2 linked regions of the Macaca fascicularis genome follow. The protein of the gene in region 1 purifies or fractionates together with the protein of each later gene. This does not show direct contact. Links are inferred from orthologs where the notes say so. Each region holds a gene or a part of one and is shown in the gene's direction. Other genes may lie near its edges. The genes, in order: LIN7C and DLG1.

Region 1 (12,311 bases):
CATCTCTGAGGCAGGAAGTAGTATGAGGAAGCAACAGGTGAAGAGGAGTTCTTCCACACAAAGAGCAATTCTTGATTAGCAGAATTGGTGATTTAATAACCTGGCAGAGGCATAAAAGGAAAACCAGCTTTCCCTGGTTCATGCTCCTAATGGCCTCCTTTGAGATGCAGGACAGCAATCCATATTCTCTTCTTTAAAATGAGGGAGCTGGACTCTCTAGGTCTTTCCCAATGCTAATACTCTTGAATTTTCAATTAACGAGGAACATTTTGGGATTCTCTCCTTACACAATAGTTGATTCTTTTGTTTATTTTGTATGTTAAGTACCAGTTGGTTAATGTGAGGCATATTTTTCCCTCTCAGAAGTAGTTTCCAAAACTTTTTTCTTCCTTACCCATGCCTAAAATAATTGATATAAAATTTAAAATCAGCTAGAAATGCTGCCCTTTATGCAAGAGCTATATATTCTTTTATAATGAAAATCATTTTCTCAATAATTTGTCTCTGCAGTTTTATAAAGAAACCGAATTTTAGTAGAAAAAGGCCCTAGAAATAATCTTTTAAATCCTGAACACAGGTCCCTGTGTCAGGCTAGCTGTGTCAGAATCACTAGAGATTTTTTAAAATACAGATTCCCAGAGCCTTCTCCTAAGGATTCTGATTTGTTAAGTCCATGAAGTTCAAGGGAATCTGTATTTAAATAAATACATATTTATATTAATTACTTTATTGATACAGAGTCAAGTAATTTTTACATGCTGACCGATTTTTTTTAAAGAGTTAGGGTGTTGCTGTGATGCTCAGGCTGGAGTACAGTGGCTACTTACAGGCACAATCATACAGCCTCAAACTCCTGGCCTCCATCCTCCTGCCTCAGCCTCCCAAGAACTGGGACTGCATACAGGTGGATGTCACTGCGGCTGGCTCAGACAGATCTTATTCAGTTGTCGTGCCAAATAAGGAAACAGGTCTAGAATGAGAATGTGATATTGTCCAGATCACACTATCACAAGGTGGCTTATCTATGATAAGTAACCAGCTCTCCTGACATTTAGTCCTGTGCTTTTCCCATAATGTCAGGCTGCTACGCTTATGGAATTTGCAACATTTTTCCCAAATGTATATGTAATGTACTATATTAGATAGGCCAAATGCATTGCCTGCTGTACTCTAGCCCTTTCTAAGGGAAAATGTTCTGTCTCCAGACTTATCAGAGACTTGGGTGAACCACTACTTCCACTGTACCAGATAGAGTTGATTGAACCAGGGGTGAGTATCTGATCATGGGTAGCAAATCCACAGACTACAGCACAATGAGATTCAAATACCAAATAAAGCAGATTTACAAATCTATTAAATGAAAATTGTCTAATCATTAAACACTGCTTTAAACCTAATAAGTCTGTGCTTTTCAAGCATTCAAATTGTGCTTATAATGAAGTTTTCTTATTCCCCTTCCCAAGAGCAAAGATTTCAAACTGAAAACATGAGGCCAATACAAATTAAAGATTTCAAAATAAAATACATCAAATATTATCTTTAGTATTGTGATTGCTATTTATTAATTTTCATTTTTATTAAAATGTCTTTTTAAAAATGCAAACAGCATTACAGGGTTTATACTTAAAAAAAGTAAAAGTTGCTGAATATGTTGTATGCAGCTGATCCACCTTCTATATATTTCCTTTATTACATGGCTTTTTAGGTTTTTTTGGAGTTAATAATTGCTTTATTTCCTCCCATTTGCTTAGTTTTCTATGTGTCTATCACCACTTTATTCCCAAACTCTCCACTAAAATGCAGAAATGTGTTATCAATATGCTCACCCACATTGGTGAACTGCACATTTCTTTTTTTTCTTGGCAACACCTCACCTCCACTTCTGCCCTGCCCTGTGAATGGATTGCTCTCTTTGCCAGCTGCATGTCTGCTACCCTAGGCTTCCCTTCACAGTTGTGGTGGATTAATTTTACGTGTCAACTTGACTGGGCTAAGTGATGCTCAGATAGCTGGTAAAACATTATTTCTGAGTGTGTCACGAAGTTTCTAGAGCAGATTAGCATTTTAATCAGTAAACTGAGTAAAGATCACTCTCATTAATGTGAATAGACAACATCCAATCCACTGAGGGCCTGAATAGAGCAAAAAGACAGAGGAAGGGCATATTTGCCCTTTCTGTTTGAGCTCAGATATCCTTCTTCTGCCCTTGTGACTCCAGTGTTCTCAGTTCTCAGGCCTTCAGACTCAGACTTTAGTACTTACACCAGAGGCCCCTCTGGTTCTCAGGCCTTGGTTCTTCATGCTTGGACTGGAACTAAAGCATCTTTTCTGGGTCTCCCACTTGAAGACAGCAAATTATGGGATTTCTTGGCTTCTGTAGCCTCCTGAGCCAATCCCTCATAATAAATCGTTTCTATATACCTAAATATATTCTATTGGTTCTGTTTCTGTGAGGCACCCTGATACAGTAATCATTCTGAAATCACCTTGATATCCTCTATATTTCTATATTGGATCCTCTTTTTATTGTACTACATACACCTTTATTGGCCAACTTTTTTTTTTTTTTTTTTTTTTGAGACAGATTCTTGCTTTGTTGCCCAGGCTGGAGTGCAGTGGTGCAATCTCAGCTCACTGCACCTCCTGGATTCAAGTGATTCTCCTGCCTCAGCCTCCTGAAGGGCTGGGATTACCACCCCTGGCTACTTTTTGTATTTTTAGTAGAGATGGGGTTTCACAGTGTTGGCCAGGCTGGTTTCAAACTCCTGACCTCAAGTGATCCACCTGTCTCAGCCACCCAAAGTGCTGGGATTACAGGCATAAGCCACCGCCCCTGGCCAGTTAACTTTTTTTCTTAAAGATGGAGTTTCACTCTGTCACCCAGGCTGGAGTGCAGTGGCACAATCATAGCTCACTGCAGCCTCAAACTCCTGGGCTCAAGTGATTCTCCCACCTCAGCCTCCTGAGTAGTTTGAACTACAGGTGTGAGCTACTGTACTTGGCTTGGCTCACTTCCTACTATTGATGGAGCATATTTTCTAATAGCTCTTGAGAAAGTATGTATGGAAGGTTAACATTTTTTAGAACTTACATGTGTAAAATATTTTTCATTATTCCTTCACGCCTGATTGATACTCTGGTTGGTGTTATGGGGTGAACTGTATCTCTTCCCCTCAAAAAAAAATTAAAGTTCTAACTCCCAGAACCTCAAATGTTACTATATATGGAAATGAGGTCACTGATGATGCAACTAATTTAGGGTATGGTCATACTGAAATAGGAAGTTCTTATAAGATTTCCAGCTGACGACAGATACACCTATTTATACGGATTTACATACGATAATGACAACAGAGACTGAAGCAATGCAGTTGCAGGCCAAGGAACACAAAAGCCTGCCAGCAAACTACCAGAAAGTGAGGAAGAGACAAGGAAGGAATCCTCTACACTTTCAGAGAGCACATGACATCTTGACTTCTGACTTCTAGCCTCCAGAAGTGTGAGACAGTGAATATCTATTGTTTTAAGTCACCCAGTTTGCTTTATCTTGTTATGGCAGCCCTAGAAACCTAATACAGTTGGGTATAGAAATCTAGTTTGCAAATATTTTTTTCTAAAAATTTAATTGCTCTCTGTGCCTCAGCTTCCAGTACTGCTGAGGAGAAGTACAATCTTGTTCTGATTTCCAGTCCTTAGAATATAACTTTTATCCTCTCTGGAAACTTCTAGGATCTTCTACCTATTCCTGGGATTCTGAAATTCTATGATGATTACATGTGTTAATCATCCACCCGGGTGCAGTGGCTCACGCCTGTAATCCCAGCACTTTGGGAAACCAAGGTGGGCGAATCACTTGAGGACAGAAGTTTGAGGCCAGCTGGCCAAACATGGTGAAATTCCGTCTCTACTAAAGATACAAAAATTAGCAGGGTGTGGTAGTAGGTGCCTGTAATCCTAGCTACTCGGATGGCTGAGGCACAAGAATCACTCGAACCCAGGAGGCAGAGGCTGCAGTGAGTTGAGACTGCGTCACTGCATTCCAGCCTGGGTGACAGAGCGAGATTCCATCTGAAGAAGAAGAAAGAAGAAGAAGGAGAAGGAGAAGGAAGAAAGAAGAAGAAACAAATTACCAGACAGGGAAAGGAAAAGAGCCAAAAAAATCCACAATCCCAGTTCATAAGAACAGTCCTGTTCCTACCAAAGTAGAAAAACCACATAATTCACATTGGGTATGGGGTAAGGAACTTTGAAGGGTACTGTCTTAGTAGTGGTATACAATTAGCCCTACATAAATGACTGAATTGGTTCCACCTAACAACAACAACAAAAAAATCAGACCCCAAAAGAACAAAATTGTTTTTCAAGTAAGTGAATTTTACAAAGTCTACCATTTTGTTTAAAAAAAAAAAAAAAGTGTCCAGGCATGCAAGAAGAAGGAAATTATGAACGGTAATGAAGAGAAAAATCAATCAATACAAACTGTGCCAGAAATAGTGTAGATCATAGAATTAGTAGACAAGGACATTAAAACTGTCATTATAATTGTATTCTATGTGTTTAAGAAGCTACAGAAAAGATTGAGCATGTTAAAATATAAAAGATGTAAAACACACACCCACACCCAAATCAAACTGGTAGAAGCAACAACTACAATGTTTTATATGAAGAATGAACTGGACAGGATTTCAATATTAGATATTGAAAAAAGATTAATGAACATGAAAACCTAGCAATTATCCAAAAGGAAACATAAAGAAAACCTTGAAAAAAAGAAGAGCATCATTGAGCTGTGAGACAATGCCAGTTAGCTCAATATACATGTATACTATGTACATGCACACGACTCCAATAGTCACCAGTGGAGAGGAGCAAGAGAATGCAAAGAAAAAATATTTGAAGAAATAAGAGCAATGTTTGCATTTGTCTTGCTCTACCTGGTATTCCTATCAAGGCACCTGGTACATATTAGGTGCTTAATAAACATTTCTTGAACACATTTGCAGCAGGAAAAAAAGACAACAATGAGTAAGAGATAAGCACCTGAGTGTTACTGCAGGGTATTTAGGCCATCAGAGGACAAAAAAGTGGAACAATATGGAGAAAGGCTTGGTAGAAGTGGCATGTCTTCAGCAGGGACCCATGAAATGGGTTCAACTGAGTGTCTACAAAGTTTGGAGAACAGGAGGGGATGAAGAAGGGCATTCCACACAAGAACAACATAAATGAAGATTTGGGGCCCGGCACAGTGGCCCACACCTGTAATCCCAGCACTTTGGGAGGCCAAAGCAGGAAGACTGCTTGAGCTCAGGAGTTTGAGCCTGGGCAACATAGCAAGACCCCCCATCTCTACTAAAAATTTAAAAATTTGCCAGGCATGGTGGTGCTTGCCTGAAGTCCTCACTACTGGCAAGGCTGAGACAGGAGGCTCTCTTGAGCTGTGATCGCACCACTGCACTCCAGTCTGGACAACAGAAAGAAACTCTGTCTCTAAACAAACAAAAAGACTTGAAACCAGGAATAAATATGGTTGAAACTATCCCACCCGGACTGAAGTGGTGGTTGCACTTAGCGGTAATAAGAAATGAACTTAGCTGGATGAGTTAGGGTCAGAGTATGCAAGGCTTTAGAAATAAGAAACAGGAGAGAACTATTGAAAGTTTCTGAACAGATCTTGTGATGATGAAATCAGAATTCAAGGGGAGAAAAAAGAAGCATAGTGATGGCAGATATCCGTGATGGATTTGGAGAAGAAAATACTAAAGGTGAATGGAAAGGGTGGACCAGCGGCAACCAGGTTATTAAAACAGTCGCATCATGAAGTGTTGAAATACTGGATGTAAACACACCTACCACAGTATCAGTACAGACTAAGGGCTTGGATAAATGTTAGTCAAATCCAAATACTAAAATTCTTCTTGGTTCGCGAAAATTTCAGGAGTGGCTCAAAGAATCTGTAATGCATTAAGAATACTATTTGCTTCACAATATTTAATTTACTTAAGATTTCATAAGAATCAGCTGCTTATAAAATTGTTACTTTGTGGTGCACCAAAGCACCTTGTTCTCTCCCTCACCCAGATATGTTATCATGCTGTTTGTACTTTCCACCCTTAAACAGATTTGGAGGGAAGATTCAAGCCGTGGATTTTTAAATTTAAAGCAATGCTGTCACAAACTGAGAACTGACATGTCATTACATATTTAATTGCCACCACATCCCAGAGTTTAAAAATTGAAAGGACCTAAGAGATAGGACCTCTCGTTGTACAGAGGCGGAAACTGAGACTGAGAGAGGGTAAGAGAACAGTCCCAGATCACAGAGCTGCTAATGGGCAAGGTGGGACTAGAATCCAGGCTTGACTCCTCTACGTGGAGCCAAGGGTTCGAAGCGATTCGGATAAGGGAAGCCCGAGGCAGGGAACGAGAGTCATGAAAGCAGCTCTTTCCAACCCTAGGAGGCCGGGGAACCTCGCCACCGCGGAAGGAGCGGAGCCAGGCCAACCTCAAAAGCCGCAAGTCCAGGTACCCTTACCCTGATGGCCCCGGCGACACCCTCGGCCACCCTCCTGATCTCGCGATACTAGCCGGTACTCACTTTTCCGGCTTCCTCTAGGCCCCGCCCCTCCACCTCAGCCCTTCTGTCGTCATTTCCTGTGGGTCTGTGGGCTAGGGAGAAGATGGCGGCGTTAGGGGAACCCGTGCGACTGGAGAGGGGTGAGTGCAGCCGAGGCTCGGCCGAGGTTGGTGGAAGGGTTGGGAGAGTGCTGTGTCGCTGGAGGGGAGGAGGAGTGACCCAGGCCCTGAGATCCGGAGCCAGGCTATCCCTTGTGCCGGCGCCTGAGGCCACCGTTGTTCTGTGCCTGGCTTTAGTGAGGGCGCTTACGGTATTTCAACTGTTACTCTAAGCTCTCCTCTGTTCACACGGACTGTCCCGAAGCACAGCACAACTAAACACAACCTGCCCGCTTCGCAGACACACGCCGCACACGCGCTCCCTTGGTGGGCACAGCAGAAGCAGCATTCAGAGACCCATATACCCGAAAAGCAAACGTCACACACCCGGTTCGCACAGACTACACTCAATGCCTGTACAACATGAGAACACACACGGTACAATTCAACAGAACCTCCCTTCCCCCTTGTTTACACACATACTCCTTCATTACTTTTTCCACAACATCGCTTGTATTTGGGTTGGGGTATTTGCTAGCTTTTGTGCCCCTCCTAGAAATGGAGAGGTTGCTTTAAAACAATCCTACTCACTTGGTCTTGGGAAGGAGGTTACGTAAGTAAGCAGAATAGTGGTAGATGCTAAAACGCTTGCAGGTGCAGTGTTTTTCATTTCTTGCAAACCCTACAATTGCAAACTGGTTGGCTGATTGCTTCCTAGAGCAGACTGTCAAGGAAAATAAAACCTCCTCTTCTGAGTGATTTTTTTTTAGAGAAGCCTGTGAAAATAACTGGCTATGCGCCTACCAGATTTCCAGCATTCCAGCGTTTCCAGTCCTTTTACAGATTTCCAGCATTCCACTCTGTCCCTAATCCTTTATTTCAAACAATTTCAAGCATGCTTTTCATGCACCAGCATTAGAAATCATTGATAGGAGCTGAGAAGTACAAATAAACATTTTGAGTACTTGTGGTTAAAGAAAAAAAAAAATTATAGGATGGAGACTGAAATTATATTGCACATATTAACATTTGCAGTTACAGTCTAAATACTACTATTGTTCCCTAAGAAAACACATTTTTAGAATTACTGTACTTAGAAAAACTTCTTTCCTAATGCCTTCCCACAAAGAAATGTGCACTTAATGTTGCTGATTTGCTCTTTACTGCGTTCACCATTTGGAAGTCTCACTGTAAATGAGATTCTTACCCTTAAGCCAATTAAAGCATCATTTTAGAGGACTAGCTACTCTGGGAAGACTTGCCGAGTTAGGCCTAAGTCTGTGACATCTTCCTCTTGAGCACAGTAGCACTGTTTTATGGATGGGAACAAATCTGTTTGGTGTTAACAGGAGTAGGTTTCTTCTTTGAAAGCTAGTTGTTAAGATTCTAACATATTGGTGGTCTTCTGTGTTTTTGTTGTTGCTGTTTGGAGACGTAGTCTTGCTTTGTCGCCCAGACTGGAGTGCAGTGGTGCGATCTCGGCTTACTGCAACCTCCGCCTCCGTGATCAAGCAATTATCCTGCCTCAGTCTCCCGAGTAGCTGGGACTACAGGCGCACACCACCACGCCCGGCTATTTTTTGTATTTTAGTAGAGACGGGGTTTCACCGTGTTGCCCAGGCTGGTCTCGAACTCCTGAGCTCAGGCAGTTCGCCCGCCTCGGCCTCCCAAAGTGCTAGGATTATAGGCGTGAGGCACTGCGCCCGACCAGTCTTTGTATTTTTAAATGCAACACAAAATGTGGAACTTCTGTGGCATTTAGTTTTGATAGTCATGGCTTTGTTTTTTGCTGTTAACAGACTTCTTTTCCATTCTTCAGTAGAAGGCTTAGCCCCTTAGGATGAATTACAGTTAGCCCTCTATATGCATGGGTTCCACGTTTCAGCCAACTGCAGATTGAAAATACTCAGAGAAAAAAATCGTGTCTGTATAGAACATGTACATTTTTTTCTTGTCCTTATTCCCTAAACAATGTGATATAACAACTATTTACATAGCATCAGATATTGTAAGTAATCTAGAGATTATTTAAAGTATGGAGGGGGGATATGCATAAGGTTATATGCAAATACTACATCATTTTATATCGGAGACTTGAACATCTGCAGATCTTGATATCTGTGGTATCTGAAGAAGGTCCTAACGAATTCCCCACAGTTACTGAGACAGCTGTACTAGTCGTTGCCATTTAGCAGGGTAAGAAAGTCAGATTACATCACCTCTGATTCTTGTTTACAATTCTAACATACTCTATTAACAAACACTCCCAACAATCTTACAGCAGAAAATCCTACAGTACAATTACAATACAGCACCTGATCACATATGATTTAGAGTGCCTTCTAAATCATCAAACTATGATCTAATGAAACACAAATTTGAGCACATGTTAGCTACATTTTAGATTTAGTCAAAAGCATTTTATTTTTTTCCGTTTTTTTTTTCTTCATTGGAAATTTTTATATGACTTACATATTATAACTTTATAAATCAAAATAATTGATGAACCAACAGTCCCCATTTATCAGTCATTCTGGTGATGGGAAATCAGAATGGTGAAGGTCTATTTGCTTCCATTGCATTTGATTAACTTTTTAAGTTTAAGCTTTCTTTACCACAAATTTAAAAATTTGTTTTCTGGCCAGGCGCAGTGGCTCATGCCTATAATCCCAGCAGTTTGGGAGGCCGAGGCGAGCAGATCAATTGAGGTCAGGAGTTCGAGACTAGCCTGGCCAACATGGTGAAACCCTGTCTCTACTGAAAATACAAAAATTAAGTGGGCGTGGTGGCGGGTACCTGTAGTCCCAGCTACTCGGGAGACTGAGGCACAAGAATCACTTGAACCCTGGAGGCGGAGGTAGCAGTGAGCCAAGATCATACCACTGCACTCCAGCCTCAGCAATAGAGGGAGACTCCGTCTCAAATAAATAAATAAATAAATTATCTTTCAGCCGGGCTTGATGGCTCACGCCTGTAATCCCAGCACTTCGGGAGGCCAAGGTGGGTGGATCACGAGGTCTGGAGGTCGAGACCAGCCTGACCAACAGGGTGAAACCCCGTCTCTACTAAAAATACAAAAATTAGCCAAGCGTGGTGGTGGACCCCTGTAATCCCAGCTACTCAGTAGGCTGAGGCAAGAGACTCTCTTGAACCTGGGAGGCAGAGGTTGCAGTGAGTGGAGATTGCGCGACTGCACTCCAGCCTGGGTGACAGAGTGAGACTCCCTCTCAAATAAATAAATAAATAAATAAATATCTTTCTTTACTGCATTTATTCATAGTTTTCTATCTGCAAACACGAAGAAGGCCATACTATATAAAGAAAAATTTCTAGTCCTTGAGTATAACATGAAATCAGAAACATCTTCTACTTAAGTCAAAAGGAAGCAAAGCAGTAATGGAATACTGGGCACTATAGTACCTGGGGTACAGAAACTGTACAAAAACAGTTTTTGGGAAAAAAAAAAAAGTAGAGATAACAGTATTATAGCTGACCTCCTGAATCTTCTAAAAATGTCTCAATTCATAACATTTATCCTCGCACTTCTCAATGGGAATCCCCTAACATGCTTCATACATTTCTAAAAATGTATACAACCTCTTAGGCTTTTTTTGGTTTGGTTGGTATTTATTTTTTTTTTTGGAAATGGAGTTTCACTCTTTTCACCCAGACTGGAGTGCAGTGGCACAATCTCAGCTCACTGCAACCTCTGCCTCCCGGGATCAAGGGCTTTCTCCTGCCTCGGTCTCCCAAGTAGTTGGGATTACAGGCACCTGCCACCATGCTTGGCTAATTTTTGTTTTTTTTGGTTTTTTTGTTTTTATTAGAGATGGGGTTTCACCATGTTGGCCAGGCTGGTCTTGAACTCCTGACCTCAGGTGATCCACCCACCTCGGCTTCCCAAAGTGCTGGGATTACAAGCATAAGCCACTATGCCCAGCCAGTATTTCTTATGATTAATTGGTACCAGTGTAACATAACATTTTTGCTTGCTGAGCCCTTTTTTATGTATTGTGTGGTTCAGTCGTTAACTGAACTCATAACTCTTCCTCGTAACCCTTATATGGAAGGTACTGTTATTTCCATTTTACAGTGAAAGAAACTGGGACATAAGGAAGTCATGTAACTTGCCCACGGTCACAAAGCTAATTGTTTTTATTTTTCTCTTTCATAAACATAAGTGTTTGAGCTTGTTTGAATTAACAATGTTAATTAAGGTGAAAAAAAATCAGTTTAGTTCATTTGTACTGCTTGTTTTTGCATTTTTACGGTTGTTTTAAATGTGTCCCTGCCACTCACTGCATCTGCTCTTTAATGGTTATCTACCTGTGTATCATGTTTCTTTCAAGAAATGATCAGTGATTTTACTAGCTTATAGTGCCTTGTACCGTTCAGTGCTTTGGTTACTAATAATGATAATTTGGTAAATTTTTGTTGACTAGTTTCTGACAATATTGCTAGCTTTTCTGAAGCAGTACAATGTTCATGTAATGGTCACGTTTGAGTCGCAGTCCTTTCTGATGACATTTGGTATTTTGTGTTCAATTTGCCTGTGTTTCTCCGAGGTCTTACTTTATGCTTCTGTAATCTCAGTAGTTTTTCCTATCTACTGTAAAATTTAGTGTTCTTACATTTTACATTCTCACCCTTCATGTGTGTACACACGCACAGTCTCCTCCCCACCAAACACATGTGCAAATTCAATGCTTTTTTCCCCACTCTTGTCTGTATATTATTAGCCCTTGAAGAATGAATCCTAAGTGCTACACTGTTACATAGGCATTGAGAAAACCCTTCGAGAAAATTATCTGTGTGTTTAACTCTAGATATTTGTAGAGCAATTGAATTATTGGAAAAACTACAAAGGAGTGGAGAAGTACCACCACAGAAACTTCAGGCTTTGCAAAGAGTCCTTCAAAGTGAGTTCTGCAATGCTGTGAGAGAGGTGAGTAAACATCTTTAAAATTTACTAAAAATTTGAGTTAATTAGGTCAGATAATACTCTAAATTTGCGTTCAAAATTTCTTAAGAAAAACTTCAGAAAACGTTAAAACCAATCCCTTTCATTTTTGGAATTTCTGATAGAAAAAACATAAAGATGCATAACTTTGCCTGAAATTTTAACTTCACAGAGAACTCAAGCATGGTATATTCTGAGATATAACTTTGGCTTTTACAGGTATATGAACATGTCTATGAGACTGTGGACATCAGTAGCAGTCCCGAAGTGAGAGCAAACGCTACTGCAAAGGTAAATTTTTTTGTTTACCAAAAGTGAGAATTCTTCATAAATTAGAAGTTTAAAATATGCAATTATTAAATTCGTAATAAACTTACTTTGAAGACTAACATGTATCTTTCAAGCTACACCAAATTTCTCAAGTACTAAGAAGACATTTGTTTCTACTGGCTTTACATAAATGGTCCATGATAAATAGCTTTACATAAGCTATGTTATGCAGTTTAGATAATGCAATAGAAATGTACTTACTTGCATACAATATCGTGCAATATATAATTGTGTTGTATATGTTACATATATGATACTATATAATATTCATTATACAAAATCTAATCATAATTTTAAGATATGAATTACTATCTTCATCTTATTGATGAGGAAGCGTGAGGTTATTTGC
Region 2 (12,311 bases), on another chromosome or scaffold:
TCTTCATTTTGGAAGCCTGTGGCAGTTTTCCATCCTAAATGAGATTGGTCACTGGACACAATCCACATATAATTATGAAGAATCTTCTGGCTTCTCCACTTACCAGAATTCTATCCAGGTCACATCTCAGAAATGGAATACAAATGACTTCCTAAAATTCTAACAGCATTTCTTCAAATTCCAATTAAGTTTCTAAGTTGATGTTCTCTACCTACATAAGGATAATCTGACTGAGGGGCCCTGGCCAAAGCCTTCTGTGAACAGACAATGGTAATTCTCTTGGCAGGGGGTAGGGTGAAGAGGTTGTTTCATGTGAGGAGATTTTAGTAGAATCCTGAGGATTTCCATATGGGATCCTATGGTTCTGTCAATACCACAAGTTCTTCAAAAGCAGGAAAGCAAATTTGGTTAAACTTAGAAGCATACCTCTAGAAAAGATGACTAATTTCTCCTTACCCCCAGCCCCTTCTCTCTAAAATAAAGATGGATTGTTGTGGAAATGTCAGTAGCTTTCTGCCACCAGGGAAAAGTCCTCGGACAATGGTGTGCTGGTGCTGTCTGGGAGTTCTTCTGGAGCTTACTTCACATGCTTCTCAAACATGGGGATGGGAGTTGATGGGATCTAAGGGCACTTCCAGTTTGGATGTCCCGTGCATCTAGAAAACCTCTTTCATACTCAAGGACATGAAATGAAGGAGGGAAGGAAACTACAGGGTATTTTAAATATAGACCTTTGCATTTAAAAAAAAAAAACTCCAAAACAAAAAACCAACTCGTTTAGTCATAACATATCACCAGGGGTGGATATGTATTTCTTCAAGGTCCTATTTCCATCAAAACTATGTGCATTGTTAAAAGCATTCAAATATATGACAAGTATACTGTATAACAGACTAGCCCATTACTTGTGCCTTATTTTATCTGAATCTTGCTCAGCCTCTCTCTTTTCTCTTTTGCTTAGTCTTTCTCTTTCTCTCTCTCTCTGTCTCTATCTCTCACACATATACACCACTCTGCACCCAGTTTTTTTGTTTTGTTTTGTTTAATTTAGAAAAGGAGCCAAGTAGAGAAAAAGCAGCATAGATTAATTGAAGAAACAGTGAACTAATGTTCAGCCCAGTTGCAGCCAGCTGTGGTGTCCTAAACTAAGTTATCTCAGTTTCCTCTTCCTCTGTGCCCTCCTTTGCAAAGTGGGAGATCATAACTAATGAGTTGATCTTATAGGTTGCTGTGGACCTGCAGTGAGTTAAACCTGTCTTTGAACACTCTATGAGGGGCTATACCACTGTCAGGATACACCAGTTTACATGGGAGGCGGTTATTAGTCCTATACTGATGTAGTAATCCATTATACCATAATCCAGGAATTTTAGGGCGGCCCTTCCATTAAAAAGCATTAGTTCAGTGCACAACTACCCATCATGGAGATGGCCATCTGTCCACATTTTAAAGGGAATTGGTTTCAATGTGTAGACTTTATTCTGTTAAGAATTGTCTATGAGAAAGAGATCAGTCTTGGTACCACTAAAACTGGGTAGAATGAATTCTTGATGTAGACTAAAGGGTGCTAATACCATTTCAGTATTCAGCAGGGACTGAGGTTTCAACAGCTTAGAACTGTGGTCTCAGAGGTCACCTAGTTTAACCTTGTGTCCTGGATATCTACCACCCTCTAACACAGAATCCTTGCTGACTTCATTCAGCATCTTCCTGATAAAAACAAAACAAAACAAAACAAAAACAAATGAACAAACAAAAACAAAAAAACCTTCCACTACCTTGAGGCAGCTCTTTGGAATTTTGGACAGTTTCTGATAACTCATGTTAAGAAAGAACTTCCTGTGTTTGTCCATTGGTTGAATTTTCATCCATTGACTGTACTTGCCCACTGGGTACACAGAATAAGCCTGTTTGACGACTGAAGCTCCCTGGAGACTTCTCTTTTTCCAATGAAATGTCCCTAGATTCTACAACTGTTTCCTATTGCTGTGGTTACTCTCTCCTTTCCAGTTGCTGGTTTGTTTAGATTCCTTTAAAAGTGTGCTGCTAAGCAATGCCCCCTAGGCTATCATGGAGGTCTGACCAATATGGCCACTTTCGTCATACTTGACACTGTTCCTCTTCTTGCAGCCTAAGCTGGCATAAGCTTTTTTTTTGACAGCATTAAATCCTTTCCTTTTAGTGATTGCCTTGGCACAGGCAGCATGCTGCTACTCTGCTGGAGTGAAAGCAAAAGATGCAGTAGAGTCTGGCGGGACCTGGGCACCTTTATAGACTTATAGGCTGGGGCCTGGATGGAGGAGAAGACAAAAACAGAGATGTGAAGCTGCAAAGGTGGCTTGGGCAGGATGTCTGGGAAGCAAAGGGCTGGAACTTAGAGACAGTATCTTTGACATTGACTGGCTAACATTTCATAAAAGAATGGGAAATCTGAGCCTTTCCCTGTGGTCATTTGACTCCTAAGCCTTTTAAACTCTTCAAAAGGCAAGTTAACTTGGAGCTGGAAAGTGAACAGCTTTACCCGCTAGTATTTTGTTGAAGTAACTTCTTCTATTCATCTATCGATCTATCGATAGACAAACAGAGAGGATAAATAGATAGATAGATGGATAGATAGATAGATATAGTGTGTGTGTGTGTGTATATATATATATATATATATATTTAATGAGGAAGTTGGAAAATTAGATCCAATATTGTGTCCTATTCAATGGCAGCTGCTCACTGCACAAAGTAAGGCTTTGAGGAAATAAAAGTTGCTTAGAAAAATCCAGACGTTGAGGCCGGGTGTGGTGGCTCACGCCTGTAATCCCAGCCTTTGGGAGGCCAAGGCAGGTGGATCACGAGGTCAGGAGTTTGAGACCAGCCTGGTCAACATGGTGAAACCCCATTCCTACTAAAATACAAAACATTAGCCAGGCGTGGTGATGGGCGCCTGCAATTCCAGCTACTCGGGAGGCTGAGGTAGGAGAACTGTTTGAACCCGGGAGGCAGAGGTTGCAGTGAGTCGAGATGATGCCACTGCACTCCAGCCTGGCAACAGAGTGAGACTCCATCTAAAAAAAAAAAAAAAAAAAAAAGAAAAGAAAAATCCAGATGTCATTGCTTTGTACATTGTGATGATGTGGTAGCCAGCTCAAAGAAGATGGCCTCCAGTGAGTCTTACTTTCTGGTAATCATATCCTTGAGGCTGATCTAAGTAACTGATAGGATATTATGGAAATGATGGAGTGTGCTATGGTCTGAATGTTTCTGTCCTTCTTAAATTAATATGTTTAAATCTTCACCTTCAAAGTGATCATATTAAGAGATGAGGCCTTTGGGAAGTGATTAGGTCTTGAAAGTGGAGCTCTTCTAAATGGGATTAGAGCCTTTATAAAAGATGCCTGATAGAGCTTGTTAGTCCCTTACACCATGGGAAGATGCAGCAAGAAAGCTCCATTCATGAGGAATGAGGCTCTTACCAGACACTGAATCTCTTGGTGTTTGTTTGTTTTTTTTTTTTAGACAGAGTCTTGCTCTGTTGCCCAGGCTGGAGTGCAGTGGCATGATCTCGGCTCACTGCAACCTCCGCCTCCCGGGTTCGAGCAATTCTCTGCCTCATCCTCCTGAATAGCTGATTATAGGCACCTGCCACCATGCCTGGCTAATTTTTTTTATTTTTAGAAGAGACGGGGTTTCATGATCTTGGCCAGGCTGGTCTTGAACTCCTGACCTCATGATCCACCCACCTCGACCTCCCAAAGTGCTGGGATTATAGGCATGAGCCACCACACCTGGCCAGTTTTTTCTTTTTTTAAAAATTTTTATTCTCATTACTGTTAGATCACATCTGATGGTGTTTTGATCTTGGACTTCTTAGCCTCTAGAACTGTGAGTAATACATTTCTGTCGTTTATAAATCACCCAGTCTAAGGTATTTTGTTATAGCAGCCCAAACAGACTATGACAGAGTGTCACTTTTGAGACTAAGTGATGAAAGGCACTGTGGCTTATTCTGTCTTGCCCTGTTGAATCACTTGGTCTGTTGGACGTCAGCCACTATGTCATGAAGACACTCAAGCAGCCCTATAGAAAGGTCTTCATGGTGAGAAACTGAAGCCTCCTCCCAATAGCCAGCATCCGCTTACTAGCTGTGTGAATGATCCATGTTGAAAGAGCCTCCCTTAGTCCCACTGAAGCTTTCAGATGACTGCAGCCCTGGTAGGTTTCTTGACTGCAACATCATAACGCCCTGAGCCAGAACCACCCAACTATGCTGCTCCTGAATTCCTGACATGCAGAAACTGAGATACTATTTATCGCTGTTTAAGTTACTAAGCGAATACGTTTTAAACTCTTAAGGTTTGAGGAATTTTTTAATCCAGCAATAAGTAACTAATAAAGATGGGTAGAAAAGAGGAATGAAGAGTAAAGAACCTTCATTCATTGCTCATATATGTTCATTTGCTAGGCACTTGCTACCGGCACCTTAGGTCAGCGGGTAGAACAAGTGCTAGGTTCACTGCTGCTTTTCGACACTGCTGACAACCAAACAGGGCTGTCGCACAGAATGACAAGAAAAAGGACATGTCCTCTTTCCTCCTCTTCCTCCTTTTTGCTTTTAGGGGAAGGCTAGGATGACATTGAGAACTCACACAAATTTTGTTTTTGACTCCTCAGTGTCCCCTGGGAAGACATGCATTGGCCTTTGTGCACTTGCTACGAGGCTGTGTATCCTTGAGAGCAGGACTTGGATCTTATTTATTTCTATCCCCGTTTCCTAGCAAGTGAACATATATGAACAATAAATGTCATCAAGGGAGAGGGCAAATTTCCCTCCCTCTTTCTCCTGAATTCTGAAGTGATTCCATTCTTAGAACGGTTTCTTATTGCAACCATTCCATTCACAGTCCATCAACGAAGTCTTGAGAGTATCATGCATGCCATGAGCCATTTTCACTATTAAACAACTTCCATCCCTCTGTTAAGTTCCTGGCTTTTAGGACACCCCTGCTTTCAGGACTGTTTGACCCTTCTATCCCATCTTCTCTATGCAATGTTGCTTTAACTGTTGTTCAAGATCCCAGGATGCTTGATCCGGGAAAGCACAGAGGTCTGCTGCCAACATACCAACATACCTCTCTGTCAAGTTGTCCAAAATCACAATAGAAAGAGCCCTGACTAGAGCTAGGAGACCTAAGTTCTGGGCTGCTCTGTTACGGATTAGCTTCTACGTCCTTGGACAAGTTGCTTCCCTTTTCTGGACCTCCGTTCCTTGTCCTAGATAGGTTCTAAAGTCGGTGGGTCCTTACAATAAGTTAGGATTCTAAGGTGCAATCCAAAATTCAACCAGTGGTCAGTATACCTGCGAGTAGCTTTAAGGTTACAATACGAGGTTCCTCGGCCTTCCCTTTAGTGGCCAATGGATACGGCCTCAGAGGCCGTCAGGCTTACTGGGAAGAGCCTTCCGGCTTTGAAAGACAGGATCTCCGGGTTTCCAGTTCTGTCACTCACTCGGGGTAACTTTGGGCAAGTTCTCTCTGGAACTCCGAATAGGGAGGTCCTTGTCACCCAGAGGAGGTTCGAAGACCTGGGCAGTGACTTGGAGAGCTTCCCGAGACTCCCCTTCTATAACCTGGGTGGCTCAGCCCGGGAGCGGGGTCCCAGCTGGCCCGTGGTTCCGCTCACAGGTGCGCTCGAAACTTAAACCTGCAGCGCTGGCCGAGGGCGGCTCAGCTTCGGAGGGCGCGACTCCAGGTGAGTTCTTAAAGGGACCGTCAGCGTTTGGGTAACACCTGCGATGCTGACCGGGCTGGGACGCAGGCTTGGGGGAATGAATGAATGAATGAATGAACGAATGAATGAACAAACCTTCTCTCCCCACCCTGAAGTATACCATACTTGGAATTTATCACTTAGGCTTAAAAATCTTGTAGTATAACCCTCAAACTCTTGCCACATTACCCAGTGTCTCTATTTTACATGTCCTTCTTTAATGAACCCCCTCCCGCCAAGCCTATTACTAAGGGACGAATAGGAACTTAACAAGCAGCCTGGAGTGGAAGGCAATGCAGAGTTGGCACCCCTCCCCGAACTCCTCCCTCTCCCTCTCCCAGGCCCCGCCCTCCCCGCCCCCTGGGAGGTGCAGTTGGCTCCTCCTTAAGGCGGCTTTTCCCCGATGGGATCTACCCCTGGGGTCGCCAGGCGCTCTCTCCGCAGCGGAGTTGGAAACGGCACGTGTTGAATGAGGTTAAGGGGTGTCTCGGAATGTGCGCCTTGGCTCTGGTGTAGGCGAGGTCACGCCTCTCTTCAGACAGCCCGAGCCTTCCCGGCCTGGCGCGTTTAGCTCGGAACTGCGGGACACGCCGGTGGGCTCGGGCAAGGTAAAGGCGGGCTCCTCCAGGGCCACCCCGGGCCACCTGTGGAGTCCGCGTGTTAACTCCTTTGTTCTCAGAGCCACTTCAGCGGCCGCCCTTTTAAGCGAGGGGGTTCCCTCAGGATGCTCCCCGTGTCCCCCTTCCGTTCCCCAGCCCTCTCCCGACCCGCCTCCCCCTTCCAACCCGAAGGTAGCAGCGCGGGGAGCCCGGGGCTCGGCGCGAGCCGCCTCCTCACTTCCCATTGGCTGAGAGCGCCGGGAAGGCGGTCACGTGGGAGCGCGGCAGGCCAGCTCGGGGGCCGCCATCTTGGCGGAAAGTTTAGGGGGAGAGCGGTTGGGGGCGCGGAAGGAGGCGAGGTTCCGGGGGTGGGGCGGGCAGGCGGCAACAGGGCGAGCGGGCCGGTGGGCCGCGGCGAGCGGGGAGGCGGCGCGACCTAGAAGGAGGAAGAGGCCGCGGGGGTGCGGCGGCCCAAGGGAGCTCCTCCCCCGTCCCTTCACCCCCTCCGCTCGGCTCCTCGGGCCCCGGGCGGGGCGGGGGTACGTGGAGCGGGGCCGGGCCGGGGAGCTGCTCCGAGTCTGGCCGGAGCGCACCCCAGTTCCGAGCGCACGCCGCTCGCGGGAACTTTGTGGCGGCGCCGCAGGTGTGGGGGCCCGCGGAGGTGTGCATGCGGGGCGCGAGGGCGTCGCGGAGAGCGGCCGCTGCCCTGTCCGGCCCCCGCTGGAGCAGCCCGGAGGCAGCGAGCAAGGAGAAAGGCAAGCGGAGGAGGGGGCCCGGGCAGGGCGGGCGGCCAGTCCCGCCGGTCCCCTCTCAGCGCTCTGCGGCCGCTGCTGGCTCAGGGGCCAAGGGTCGGAGCGCTTCACCGGCCCGTCCCCAGTAGCAGGTGGGGAGCGTGGATACTTGTGCCGGGGGAAGAGGCGGCCTCAGGTCTACGCTCTTTGGGGAGGGGGACGCTTTCGAGGAGAGTTTGAACACCGACTTCTCTCTGTTCTTAATTTGGAGGGGTACCCACTCCAGGGAGAAGCTTTCCACATTGACAGACAACTGCTGCGTTTTGAGACTCTTTCTTTGACTTGGTAAAACTTTGGAACGTGGGGTTTTCCAATAGGGCTGCGAGGGTTTTCTATTTCGATAGGGGGAAATGCTAGTTTAACATGATTCTATCCTTTTTCCTTTCTGTTGTGTGTTTTTAAAGGTGTGTGCCCTCTTCCTGATTCTGGAGAAAAATGCCGGTCCGGAAGCAAGGTGAGAGTTTATTCCATAACTCTGTTGATGTCACTTGGCTTTTCCGTATGTCAGTTTTTTGATTGGTGTTTTAGAATAGTTTGTGTAACTTTGATGAGACAGCACGGTCCTAGCTTTATTGGTTAGGGGATGTAAGTCTCACATCATTTCAGAAGATGGAAACAGGAAAATGTTTGTTAAACTTTCTTAACATTTCTCTGGTGATTAAGAGAGGCAATTAACACCCCCCCCCTCCACAGATGTCCTTAAAAACTCTGCATTGGTGTTTTAGTATTTCACTTCATCATTCTTACTAAGCACTATTCTGTGGGCAACCGTGGGATACTAAGAATTTGTATTTTGAAATGTTAAAAATTTGGATTTTAATGACAAAATGTAGATTATCTGCTTTTGCATATCAGGTAATCTGAAACTGTTGCTAATACTTTGATCTTTTACTTTGGCAAACTAACAGTACATATTTATTCCAAACTGCTCACTCTCCTCCGTTTTCTAATGTGATATATGTTTAAATTTTTCTTGTCTTTAATTTTTTTTTATTTTTTGGTCATTCTAAGGAATATGTGTACATGAACATAGTGACATCAGTTGACCTGAAGGATTTGGGGAACTGTTTAGGTGTCATGCAGAATTATTTGCACTAGTGTGTGATACTTTTTTTGTAAATAGAGAGTTTTAATCAGGCTCTGCTTTTTCTTCTCAGATACCCAGAGAGCATTGCACCTTTTGGAAGAATATCGTTCAAAACTAAGCCAAACTGAAGACAGACAGCTCAGAAGTTCCATAGAACGGGTTATTAACATATTTCAGAGCAACCTCTTTCAGGCTTTAATAGGTGGGAATTAAAACTTTGTAACTATTATGCCAGCTAGGCTTTATGCTCCTCTTGATTCAGTTATTTTAAACTTAAGAAAATGATGTACTTAATTCTCTATGAGGCGTTCGGTAACTTGAACATCTTCAGTGCGTGTGTGTTTTTCATAGGCCAGGATCCTTTCCTAAAATACCTAGTAACCAAAAAACTTTCAGTATCATTTCAGTGGCTTTTGAGAACATTGCTTCACAGCTTAATAGCATTAACTGTTAAAAGATGTTGCAAAAATGTTTCAGGACCTAAAAGGTATGACTGAGTTACTGTTAGCTTGCTTCTGTATTTGACTTGTATGTCTCTGAAGTCATTGAAAGTGTGTGAAGGATTCTGCTGTGTGTAAGAACATTCAGTCCCTTAATATAGACTTCTGTTTAAACTTGGCATTCATGGAATCAGAATTTTAGACCTGGAAAATGATCTTAGAGGTGATCTTGTCTAATAATCGTATTTTACAGGCAAGAAAATGGAAAGTTTTATTCTTAATTGTAACTTAATTTGAAGTGGTGCATTGTTTGAAAGGAGAATTGGACAAATAAGAGTCTTGAGTTCTTTTGCCACTAATTCAGTGACATTATAAAAGTCATTTAATCTTTTCTACGCCACCATATTAGCTGTAGAATGTAGCTGGAATGGCAAAATGGGTTTAAAGCCTTTTTTAAGTGGATAAATCATTTTTAAAAGCATCATCTAATATTTTGTGTGTAATCTCCCATGTATGAAACAAGGTGACTTATCTGGCTCTTTTGTCCAGGTACCTAAAAAAGCTTGCAAACTACTGAACTAGAAAGTTTGTCTCTTCCAATTCCAAGAATGAAGTTTTGTTTTTTTTTTTTAGTTATCGACTATATAGCATTTTAACGTAAGGAGACATATACTTAATTGTATTACATTTATTTTTTCAGTAACTTCCAGGCAGATATGGCCTTACATCTGTCTGTTGATAGAGTAATTGTTGGTGTGATTTGAAGACTACCTTCAAGTCAGTGTGTCCTGTCAAATACATTATTGGTAAACGGATGCTCTCTACTGTTTTAGAATGAAAGATTTTCGTAAAGACCACTTTATGCACCTGAACAATTTTTAAAAATTTAACATTTTTAGTAGACTTTTAAAAACGTAAGAATACAGAGCACAGTGTAATGAACTGCCTTTTAACTGTTACCTAGTTCCCGAAGTTATTAACATTTTGCCAGTTTTGTCTACATTGATGGACATTTTTTACACATTTGAATTTCTGAGGTTCAGGGTCAAAATGGATGATCAAATTGTATTCCTCTGGAAAAACAGCAAAAAGCATTTTTTAGTTATTTGTTTTCTGAATCAACACTGAGCCTAGTAATTCGGTGCGGTTACTGTTGCGGAAAAACATACATGTGTTTATATACAGTGTGTATATATATATATAGAGAGAGAGATGGATAGATAGATATGGATAGATAGATAGACTCCAGACTTTGTGTGAAGGCAACAACTTAAGATAATTAAATCGTTAGTGAAATAACAGAATCTACATTTATATTTCTGTCTAGATTGGGGATGGGTTTGCTATATTCAAAGACATTTTTGACCTATTCTGCCTTGCCTGTTTTGAATGTGTGTATTCTTATGATAGAGTTTTTTGTTTTCTTTTTTTTGAAATGAGTCTCGCTCTGTTGCCCAGGCAGTAGTGCAGTGGCGCAATCTCTGTTCTCTGCAGGCTCCACCTCCTGGGTTCCCGCCATTCTCCTGCCTCAGCCTCCCGAGTAGCTGGGACCACAGGCGCCCACCACCACGTCTGGCTAATTTTTTTTTTTTTTTTTGTATTTTTAGTAGAGATGGGGTTTCACGGTGTTAGCCAGGATGGTCTCGATCTGACCTCGTGATCCACCTGCCTCGGCCTCCCAAAGTGCTGGGATTATAGGCGTGAGCCACTGCATCTAGCCTAAAATTAGCTTTCTAATTATTAAGTTTATATTTGTGAATCTTCTGCACAATTTCATTGGTTGTGAATTTACTTTGACATTAAGATTTACTTATATTTAATGTTTTATAGGATGTGGTACTATATCAGATTTTGGTGTAAGAAAAGTAATATATTTTAGGAGGTTTGAAATAGATACATTTTAATAGAGGTTCTGTGTGTTTCCATTCTATAATTCATTGTTGATACTACTGAATTATAAATGCATTCTCTCGTGTTTCCTGAATAGCTTTTAATACTTAGTCTGAAAATGTTTAGTCTGGTAAGATTTTCTTTGTATTTTGCAACTCTACCATTGTTTTAAAAGTGTCATAAATGTACTGTAAGTTTGTAAATTGCCCTAAGCTAAACCAGTTCATCGTGTCCATAATGTTTGCAGAAAAATCCTACTCAGAAGACAGAGTGCCACTTACTGAAAGGTGTTTTCTCTCAGTAAGTGGCACTCTGTCTTCTGAGTTGGTACCTGTGGACCATTGGATTAAAGGAGAACAGGGGTCTTGACAGCCTGAGCTGTTTGAAAGTCAGTTAGTGCTTAGAGTTTTGACTTCCTTGGTTTGGAAGTCACTTGATTAGGCCGTAGTAAGTTACCTAGTTATCTGTTTGGGATGCCGAGTGTCTTTGAATTTGCAATCTGCATTGATCATTTATTGATTGATTCTTTGAACTGGTAGTTTATATTGACTTTTCATTCATTTTAAAAAGTTTGAGTGAGTCTCTAGGGGTTTTGGTGTTTTCCCCTGTAGTTCATATATAGATTAGGTTCCTGTACTTTTGGATTATTCAGAGGGACAAGGATGTACATACTGTATTATATTTGTTCTAAAATACCAATTTTTTAATATTTCAATATCTGGTATATGTCATTTTTAATTGACAGTGTTTTTTGTGTTCTGACACATGAAATAGTGCATTTTATAATTGATACTTGCAATTTAAATATAGAAATCATTGTTCTAGTGTTGATACATTCTTGGTAGTATCTTTGAAGGATGGCTTAAAGATTTAAAAATTATTGAAAACAGAAGTTTTTATTAACTTTTGAGTTTCAGCTGATATATTGTTTCTTTAGAGCTGAATATTTAAAGTTATATCTTAACAAAAGTCCATGAACTGCACATTTGTTTAAAATGTACTCCCAAAACATACCTGCTGATTATTTTTGTACAAAGGAAGATAAAGTCTGCTTAATTTCATTCTGTGATTTAGGTGAGACCAATTTGAAAATTTGCTTTTGTATTCCAATTTTTTGTACTTAAGTTTGAAAATTTTGTGAGTAGACAGGGTATGGTTTGATTATAATCAGAGCCCAGGTGTTCAGGTCCATAGTGGTTTCATTTCATTCATGATTCTAAGGTGTCTGGGATCTGAGGTGACACTGGTAGTCCCTAGAGACTTCGTACCAGTCTAAACCCCTGCAGTTATTTCTTACGGGATCAGAGAACTCATCTGCTTTCCTTGTGCACGAGAAAAATCAGTGTCCAAGATTAGGCTGGCTTTAGAGACTTGAGTAAGTTGCGTCATGTGATTTGCATATTTTGTCTGCAATAAAAAAGCTTATATTAACACAGTGTTTCTGCAGATTCTTCAGAATGAAAGTGGATTATGTAATAATACTGTCCATTTATGAGTTTTTTAGTTACCAGTTCATTTGTTGCTATTAAACTCTAATAGTTTCATTAGCCCTTATAAAAGGACCTTGCCCTATCTTTATTTGTGGATACTGGGTTTCAAAATATGACCCCTTTACCATCTTAACCATCTTGAAATGTACAGTTCAGGAGCATGAAATGTATTCATGTTGTTGTGAAACAAGTCTTCAGAACTTTTTCGTCTTGCAAAACTGAAATCCTGTACCGATTAAACAACTGCTCCCCTTTCC

The links.
Region 2: the proteins of LIN7C (region 1) and DLG1 purify together in Homo sapiens (affinity purification with mass spectrometry; 4 studies listed by BioGRID and IntAct, counting the BioPlex papers as one, with this or other methods). This does not show direct contact. The link is inferred for Macaca fascicularis from reciprocal best matches to the Homo sapiens genes LIN7C and DLG1.

Annotation. Positions count from the first base shown.
Region 1 is NC_088388.1:38,078,397-38,090,707, forward strand, and holds the start of LIN7C (protein lin-7 homolog C), read left to right. Parts: upstream 1-6,653; 5' UTR 6,654-6,677; coding exon 6,678-6,714; intron 6,715-11,498; coding exon 11,499-11,617; intron 11,618-11,851; coding exon 11,852-11,923; intron 11,924-12,311. UniProt on the Homo sapiens protein: Plays a role in establishing and maintaining the asymmetric distribution of channels and receptors at the plasma membrane of polarized cells.
Region 2 is NC_088376.1:2,753,359-2,765,669, reverse strand, and holds the start of DLG1 (disks large homolog 1), read left to right. Parts: upstream 1-6,148; 5' UTR 6,149-6,215; exon of another isoform or gene 6,216-6,365; intron 6,366-6,667; exon of another isoform or gene 6,668-7,239; intron 7,240-7,295; exon of another isoform or gene 7,296-7,432; intron 7,433-7,551; 5' UTR 7,552-7,582; coding exon 7,583-7,601; intron 7,602-8,304; coding exon 8,305-8,436; intron 8,437-12,311. UniProt on the Homo sapiens protein: Essential multidomain scaffolding protein required for normal development. Recruits channels, receptors and signaling molecules to discrete plasma membrane domains in polarized cells.